2 linked regions of the Tribolium castaneum genome follow. The protein of the gene in region 2 purifies or fractionates together with the protein of the main gene of each other region. This does not show direct contact. Links are inferred from orthologs where the notes say so. Each region holds a gene or a part of one and is shown on either strand. Other genes may lie near its edges. The genes, in order: Prosalpha5 and akirin.

Region 1 (3,363 bases), on a different chromosome or scaffold from region 2:
AAAAACGTTTGTATCATAGAGAAAAAGTTTGAGTAAGGAATTATTTAAAAAAAAGTATATGTGTAACAGCCTTACTCAACTTACCAAGTCCTGCATAATTTTGTTTTTCCAGCACAAATTACCAATTATCCTTATCAAGTCCGCCTTAAATCCGAAAGCTGGATGTTCTTGGATGTTTTTATTAGGTTCTCTAATTTCAGACAAATTCAGTATTGAAGTAAAACAATTTTCACTTTCTTTTCCTAGTCTGTGGATATTGATTAATAAAACACCAGAGTTGATTAATAGATCTTTATCGCTTTGTAGCACTTTTAAATAATCTTCATTACTACAGAAAGACGATATGACTTGCACAAGCTGCGATATCTCATAAGCTTCCAAACTTGAATCTTTATTTTGAACTGTTTGAAAAATAATATTACCAGACGCTACAAATTGGTTAGTTAACACTTTTAAACCCGTTACTGGTATATTTAATGCCTCTCCTTTAATCTGTTTATCTCTGATTACGCCCAACACTGCTGCCCTCTTATTAATCTCAAATTTTAAGTAATAATTCCAAAAATTACAATCACTTATTAGTTTTTCTAACATGAAGTACAAATATTCTACACTATTGTGAGAGTCGTAAAGTTCAAGGAGAAAAGAATACGTGTCAAAATCCATGTTCAATTCCTTGTATAAAGACATGTTATATAAAAGGGCAGACGTTTCGTAAATGTTTTTCTTGTCTTTCAAGAGTGAAAGTATTGTAGGATAAAACACATCATATACTCTATCCACAGCACTTTTATTTGATATTATTAAATTAAACAAAAATTGTAAAATAATTTGGAATGCATTTTGTATCACTTCAGACTGTAAGTTCATAAAATTGGACACATTCGGTAGAAAATTTTCGTCATTAACTAAATAATTTTGAACGTCTGAATTTATAACATAATTCCTTAGACTCCTAAACAATTCTTTTATGATTCCTTCATGATTTTTGCTTAGGCTTTGCTCAGAAAGTGTCTTTAAAATTTTATGTAGCAAATCCACAGCTTGAGTTGAAAATTCAATCCTGAAAAACTAAATCTTCCAAATTTTTCTTAATAAGGACAAAACTTACTTTAGGGGGACACCTGTCTCGTCCTTTTCCAGCCTAAATTCTTTCTTTAAGTAAAGTTCAAGAGCGGAATAATCATTCTGCTGCAGGTATTCATCGACAGTTTCCAGTTTTACGGATATTGGTCTAAACATAATTTATTTTCACGTCGAAAAAGCTCACAATTTTTATACTATTTTGGCTAATTTTTAAAGGTTAGGTGTCAAATTTGAAAATCAAGCACCAACCCTACGTTAAAAAAGGTTCTAAAGAGCCAGATAATATGTAAAAGGACCTTTGTTTTTTGCTCTTGTGCAATCCCAAACACGTTTTTACAATACAGTGTTTGAATTGAAGGATAACTTAGATTTTAAAATAATAAGAATTAATTTCTCATAATTTAAAATATCATTATTGTAGCATTGGCGACACTGACTTGGTGAGAAAATCGTGTTTTGGTTTGTCATCGTCGGCTTTTTCCTGAATTTAGAAAAATTTGAATTAATCCAATTATAAAGGTAATTTTTACTTATAACTTATGTTTTTTATTAATGTTCTTACATAACTAATGGTTTAGTCCGATTTTGACTGCATTTATTGCATGCAGAGTCATTTTTTGTGACATAACCTCACAAAAACTTTTAGATGTTCCTCACAAGAAGTGAATATGACCGAGGTGTGAACACTTTTTCACCTGAAGGTCGCCTTTTCCAAGTGGAATATGCTATCGAAGCTATCAAATTGGGTTCCACCGCTATTGGAATATGCACTAGTGAGGGGGTTGTGTTGGCGGTAGAGAAGCGCATAACTTCCCCATTAATGGAGCCCACAACAATAGAAAAAATTGTAGAAGTTGATAAACATATTGGTTGTGCCGTGTCTGGCCTTATGGCAGACTCTAGAACAATGATTGATAGGTAAATAATAAAAAAAATAAAAAAATGTAGTTGATCAAAATTATGCCAGGGCACGTGTGGAATGCCAAAACCATTGGTTTGTCTACAACGAAAACATGAGTGTGGAATCTTGTGCCCAAGCTGTGTCGAATCTAGCGATTCAATTTGGCGATTCTGACGATGATGGTGCAGCAATGTCAAGGCCATTTGGTGTTGCCATTTTGTTTGCTGGGATTGACGAAAAGGGGCCCCAGTTGTACCATATGGATCCCTCTGGTTGGTTTTAATAATTATGTTAATCTAAGTTTTTTATTTTTTCACTATAGGTACATTCGTTCAGTTTGATGCCAAGGCGATTGGATCTGGTTCAGAAGGGGCTCAGCAAAGCTTGCAGGAGGTCTACCACCGCAGTATGACACTAAGTGAAGCAACAACAGCGGCACTAACAATTCTTAAGCAAGTGATGGAAGAGAAATTGAATTCTTCAAATGTTGAAGTCATGACAATGACTCCTGGTGCACTGTTTCATATGTTTAGTAAGGAACAGGTGGAGGAGGTAATTTCTAAAATATCATAATTTATATCAAAGGCAGGAGGTTGCTCGTTTTTATTTTACAAGCTGTTTTATTTTTCTATACCAGTATAACTACATTTTTACTGTTTTTCCATCAAAACGATGTTCTCTGCTAACAACATATTTAAATATCGTTATTATTCACTCTACTGGAACAATAAATAATTAAGAAGAAAATCATTACGTTTATGCTTACCACACCTGCTTCCTGGACCTTTTTTCCTAACCCTCATAACTATCGCTAATTACTCTAATTAGTGATGCATAGCGAAATTACCGTAACTAGACACATTTTCATTTTATCCAAGGAGATTCAGATAGTGGATAAAAGGTGGAACCCACATCTTTTTTCAGGTTTTGCTTCTGTCCGTCATACCCAATAATTATTTTTACAGTTGAGCGGCCTTACAGCATAATTAATTAATCAAGCTAATCAAAAAGTTTGCTAATAATTTGATCTTGCCTTTATTCACTTATTTAAAACAACCATAATAATTTAAATAAGAATCCAGACCAAATCTTCATTGTGAGTAAATTTAGAAGAAGAGTTTTTTAAACTTTATTAAAATAGATTTGCATACTATTACAGTTAACGACCAAATGTTATTTAAAGAAACTGTAAGAATGTTATGTCGACAATAATTTCTTAAGTATGTCATAATAAAGTGACAAAAAAGTCGATTTATAAGTAAGTTTGAGTAAAAATTTAAATGGCATTTATCCGGTGAAATGACTTTCAAAAAAATTATTCACATACATAATAGTTTTTAATTTGTGTTATTAAAAGTTGCAACTATTAATTTATT
Region 2 (4,453 bases):
TTTTATGCTTATGACCCACCAGTCACGCAGTGGCACATTTAATTCAATTTACAAAGCCGTAAAATTTTCAGAAAAAACCCTAGAGACACAGCCACAACGTCACTATCCGCGAATCTAGACACAGGTGTCCTTCTAAGTCGGGATGAGCTTTTACCCATCTCTTATCCCTTTACGACCAACTACCATTACCAAGTGCTTCGAAAAATTACCAGATTACGGGCAGTAAAAGCATCCTAAACCCAAACTCTCAAATAATGCTGATAAGATAAATGGGAATATTTTTCCAGGAAGTCAGATTTCGGACAAAACATCGAAATCATTGGTCTTTAAATCCAAACAAAACTGTATATGTATTTAATTTTAAAATTTACTAAATTATTACTTATATTTCGTACTATTATTTAAATTTTAAATAAATAAAACAACAAAATGTGTGTTTACAATGGATTTATTTCAACCGTAGCAACTGATATAAAATATAAAGTTCGAAATCCAGTACAATTTAGAAAACAACAAATAGTTTTTTTGAATTTTAAACAATTGTTAGGTTTATGCTCAGCCTAAGACATTATCATACATTCAAAAAACAATATATTAATTAATTACAAAAAAAAACAAGAAAACCATTCCATAACACATTGATTTTCAAACAGCACCTTTATACCTGCGACTTAATATTTTCACAGAAAAGGTCTTTGACATCTCTTTCGTAGTAATGCTTCCTAATAAGCTGACTTTAAGTAGTATAATTCTTGTAAATTTTTACGTTCCCTCCAAAAATGATTCAATTTAAAACTGGTGTTTTCCCCTATCCCCTTATTTTCATATTATGTTCAGATACTTACGCATACACAAAACAATTAACGTATTGTTTATTTGTTTAATCTTTCTTGGCACAAATTATTTTATAACAGTTCAACAACAAAAAAGGTAAATGAATGATGACAATGAAAATACTAATCAAATCGATTAATGTTTCTAATAAAATTATTGTTGTATTTACTTTTGTTTTATTACTAGATTATTTTACCATCCTATATAAAAAATCGAAAAATTGTACGCATCAGCATTTAATAAAGATAATAACTAAATCAGAATCATACTAACAAAAGTGTTAACACAATTTATAACTTCATTTATATGTGATTCAAACAAGATGATAGAAAAATTTAATTTGTAACTGTGTTACAAATTAAATTTTGTTCAAGCATGTCTGAAACGAGCTTTACGAGCTGATACAAAATATGAGGTCAATATATTTTGTTTTCAAGAGAACATGTATAAGCTTTAATGACTTCATTAAAAAAGCTTTTAAGCACGCTCTAACATAAAACAGGTAATGAAAATAAATTTTATTAAAAAAATGGTACAACATTCTTTCTACAGAGACTTTTTTTAACTCTAAAAATAGTCACCATGTTACCAATAATACGAAAAATAATAATTATTTGATGTCAAGTTGTTTGAAGTTTATTTTAGTGAAAAGATAATCCTTTGTAATCCGGCATTTCCCCTAAAAAAATATAAATTGCTTTTGCTTTGAAAAGAACCGAATTGTTATTTGTTTCTTGCCAGTGGTGGCGCAACTCCTGGGGGTAGGAGGTAGTGAATCAAAAAAATACGTTCGTCAAAAAAAAACTAAAACTATGCAAAAATAAAGGTTAATAAATGTCCAGTGTTTAAAAATAATCAGTTTTTAAAGATACTAATCTTAACTGAGGGCTGAAAAGATAATCCTTTGTGATCTGGCATTTCTCTTAAAAAAATATACTCGTACCACCAATTTCGTTATTTAGTGAAATTTGTCGGCTCAAAAAAAGTGGAAATAGAATGACAAAAAAATACGTGCGTTTTTAACGTGGCTCACAATCTAGGAAGTCATGTTGGTACAAGCTCAACTTAAGTTTTATCTTCAAGCTTCTAAATATCACAATAAAATCTTAAGTATCTTTCATTATTACAGTTAGCTATGAAAAAATTATGACTCAAATCATGGAAGATTTATGTATTCCTCGATCGGTCATGAAATTTCCCATAAAACTCTAATCGAATCCAGGCATCCAAAGCGTGAGAGCCTGTAAGCCCCAATTATAAAATTTAATGTCCTCGCTCCCCTCCGCTCCAAAATCAATATACCCGCACCCAGATTTGGTTAAATCGGCAAAAATAACCTAAAAACGTTGAGATAACACGAGCGGATAACCTCAATTTCTAAAATCACGATGCTCCAACGAATTCGAGCAAGATAAGCAATTAACACGGAATTAAAATCGGTCCTGTAAAAAGTCCCTCGGACGTCATTCCTTTATCGGCGATCAGCTGAGACCGAGTGTCAACAACCGCAAAGGCCCTTAGGCCGGCCCTGTCCACTTACCAGGGGTCAATTTTTGGCTGACGACATCGGGAAAGACGGACTTGGGCTTGGGGGAGGAGGAGGTGGCCGGAGGCGAAGCCCTGTCTCTGTGCGTGGGGCTCTCGCAGAAGGGAATGCAGCGCCTGCGTTTGGCCGGACGGCCCCCCAGCACGGGCTCCCAATCCAAGGAACGTTTCAGAGTAGCGCACGCCATTTTTAGTTCTGTCGCTAACACTTCACACACAAAACAAACTTTGTTTCACAGGCTATCGCGAATTTGCTATGTACAAAACCGAAATTGCACTTGGACACTTATGCAGCGGTACTTTTACCCCGAAACTTGTCCATGAAAGGGGAATGGTCGACGATTTCATGCGCACCCAACGACCAATATGGCGAAACGAAATAAGAGAAGTGACATTTTGTGAACGGCAGAGTGGGCTGTGATGAATATACGGTTACCATTGGCTTGCGCGACTCTGCGCATGCTTTGTACCCTGGCGACATCTCCCGGGACCAAAGATCTTCGCGTTTTTTCAAAATTAATTGGGCTAATTTAAAGGCAATTACGCAAATTTCCGTCTAACAACGGCTAAAACGAATGTATCATGAAATCGCTTGCTACCTTATGCCATTTTTAGGCACGTTACTGTTGCTTTTGCTTTGAAAAGAACCGAATTGTTACTTGTTTCTTGCCAGTGGTGGCGCAACACCTGGGGGTAGGGGGTAGTGAATCAAAAAAGTGCGTTCGGCAAAAAAAAAACTATGCAAAAATAAAGTCCAGTGTTTAAAAATAATCAGTTTTTAAAGATACTAATCTTAACTGAGGGCTGAAAGAAAGCAAATCCGTGTAATATAGACATTTTTTTATTAAATACTTTTTATCCAAATATGATACCAATATGCCTCAACAATAAAATCACATAATCTTAAATCTTAACATAAAATATACTATCCAATTTATATATTATACTTAGCTCTTAATAATATTTGGCATATATATTAAAATGTACAGAGCTGATATTTTGTATAGCATAGGACTTTGCCAGATTCCTACAACAAACCAAGCTAAATATTATTGTCAAAGAAAAACCGGTGACGGAACCAAAAACCGTTCGCACACGTCTGTGTGCAGTGTGTTTCAAACGTAAGAGGCACGGAATAAACAACAATGTGAGTGGTTCATTTAAAAACTGTCTAATCTGCACAAAACCCTGTTCAACACGAACACAGCTCAAAAGCGTATTAAGATATCATAAGTCGTAGTTCTACAACATCCTTGCTTTTAGTCGACCCCATTGTACCGTTCAACTGAACACTTACGATTACTAGAATTTAGAAATTTTAACAAGAAATCACAAGTATATTATCTCCCTTAAAAACTAGCAACGGCTGAAGCGCGTCCAGGATTTTTTAACATATCACAGCTAGCGCCAGAAACAAGTCAAACAATGATACGTTTTGATAATTGACTTGCGACGAGTATTTTCATGATTTCGAGCGAGAAAGAAACAATATTCAACACTGGGCTAAGGGTCACATTTAGACATCGCCACTTAATTCTAAACCGATATTAGAAGAAATCCTGAACGACTTCGAGTCACCTTGATCTACGGTTCAAAGTTCAACAAATAATCTTTCAGCTGATTGGGCAGATTCAGTTTGTTAATGTAGAGTCCCGGTCTGCGCCCGAGACAGTTGTGTATTTTAACGCGGCAGATCTGTTTCAGACTTCTTGGTCTTTTGTATAAATCTCTAATAATACAGGTCAACGGCTCAGTCATTTTCCCCGGTACCAAACTCAACTGCTGAGTGTGCAAAATCTTCAGACATTCGAATAGCGGCTTGTGTTGCATTATAAAATAAAATAACATGATTATTTTCGAAAAGCTCATGTTCGGGTCCATTATGAGATTCTCTTTACGCGATATAAGCATTATGTAATAGTACAAGATGTAGTTTTTCGTCTTCCAAATGGATTGGAGGTGCAACGGATGGTTCTTTATTGCTTCGGACATGTTCAAGCTCAGGTCGGGATTCGCCCCGTATTGTACCAAAGTAAGCGTAAGGTCGTAGACGTAGTGGATATCCTTCGAGTCG

Evidence for each region.
Region 1: the proteins of akirin (region 2) and Prosalpha5 purify together in Homo sapiens (affinity purification with mass spectrometry; 3 studies listed by BioGRID and IntAct, with this or other methods). This does not show direct contact. The link is inferred for Tribolium castaneum from reciprocal best matches to the Homo sapiens genes AKIRIN2 and PSMA5.

What each region holds. Positions count from the first base shown.
Region 1 is NC_087396.1:10,900,872-10,904,234, reverse strand, and holds Prosalpha5 (proteasome subunit alpha type-5), read left to right. Parts: upstream 1-1,489; 5' UTR 1,490-1,605; intron 1,606-1,664; exon of another isoform or gene 1,665-1,732; coding exon 1,733-2,004; intron 2,005-2,053; coding exon 2,054-2,259; intron 2,260-2,309; coding exon 2,310-2,560; 3' UTR 2,561-2,737; downstream 2,738-3,363. UniProt on the Homo sapiens protein: Component of the 20S core proteasome complex involved in the proteolytic degradation of most intracellular proteins. This complex plays numerous essential roles within the cell by associating with different regulatory particles.
Region 2 is NC_087398.1:5,661,496-5,665,948, forward strand, and holds the start of akirin (akirin), read right to left. Parts: upstream 2,813-4,453; 5' UTR 2,568-2,812; coding exon 2,375-2,567; intron 1-2,374. Other genes in the region: ankyrin-3, read right to left, coding at 3,964-4,453. UniProt on the Homo sapiens protein: Molecular adapter that acts as a bridge between a variety of multiprotein complexes, and which is involved in embryonic development, immunity, myogenesis and brain development.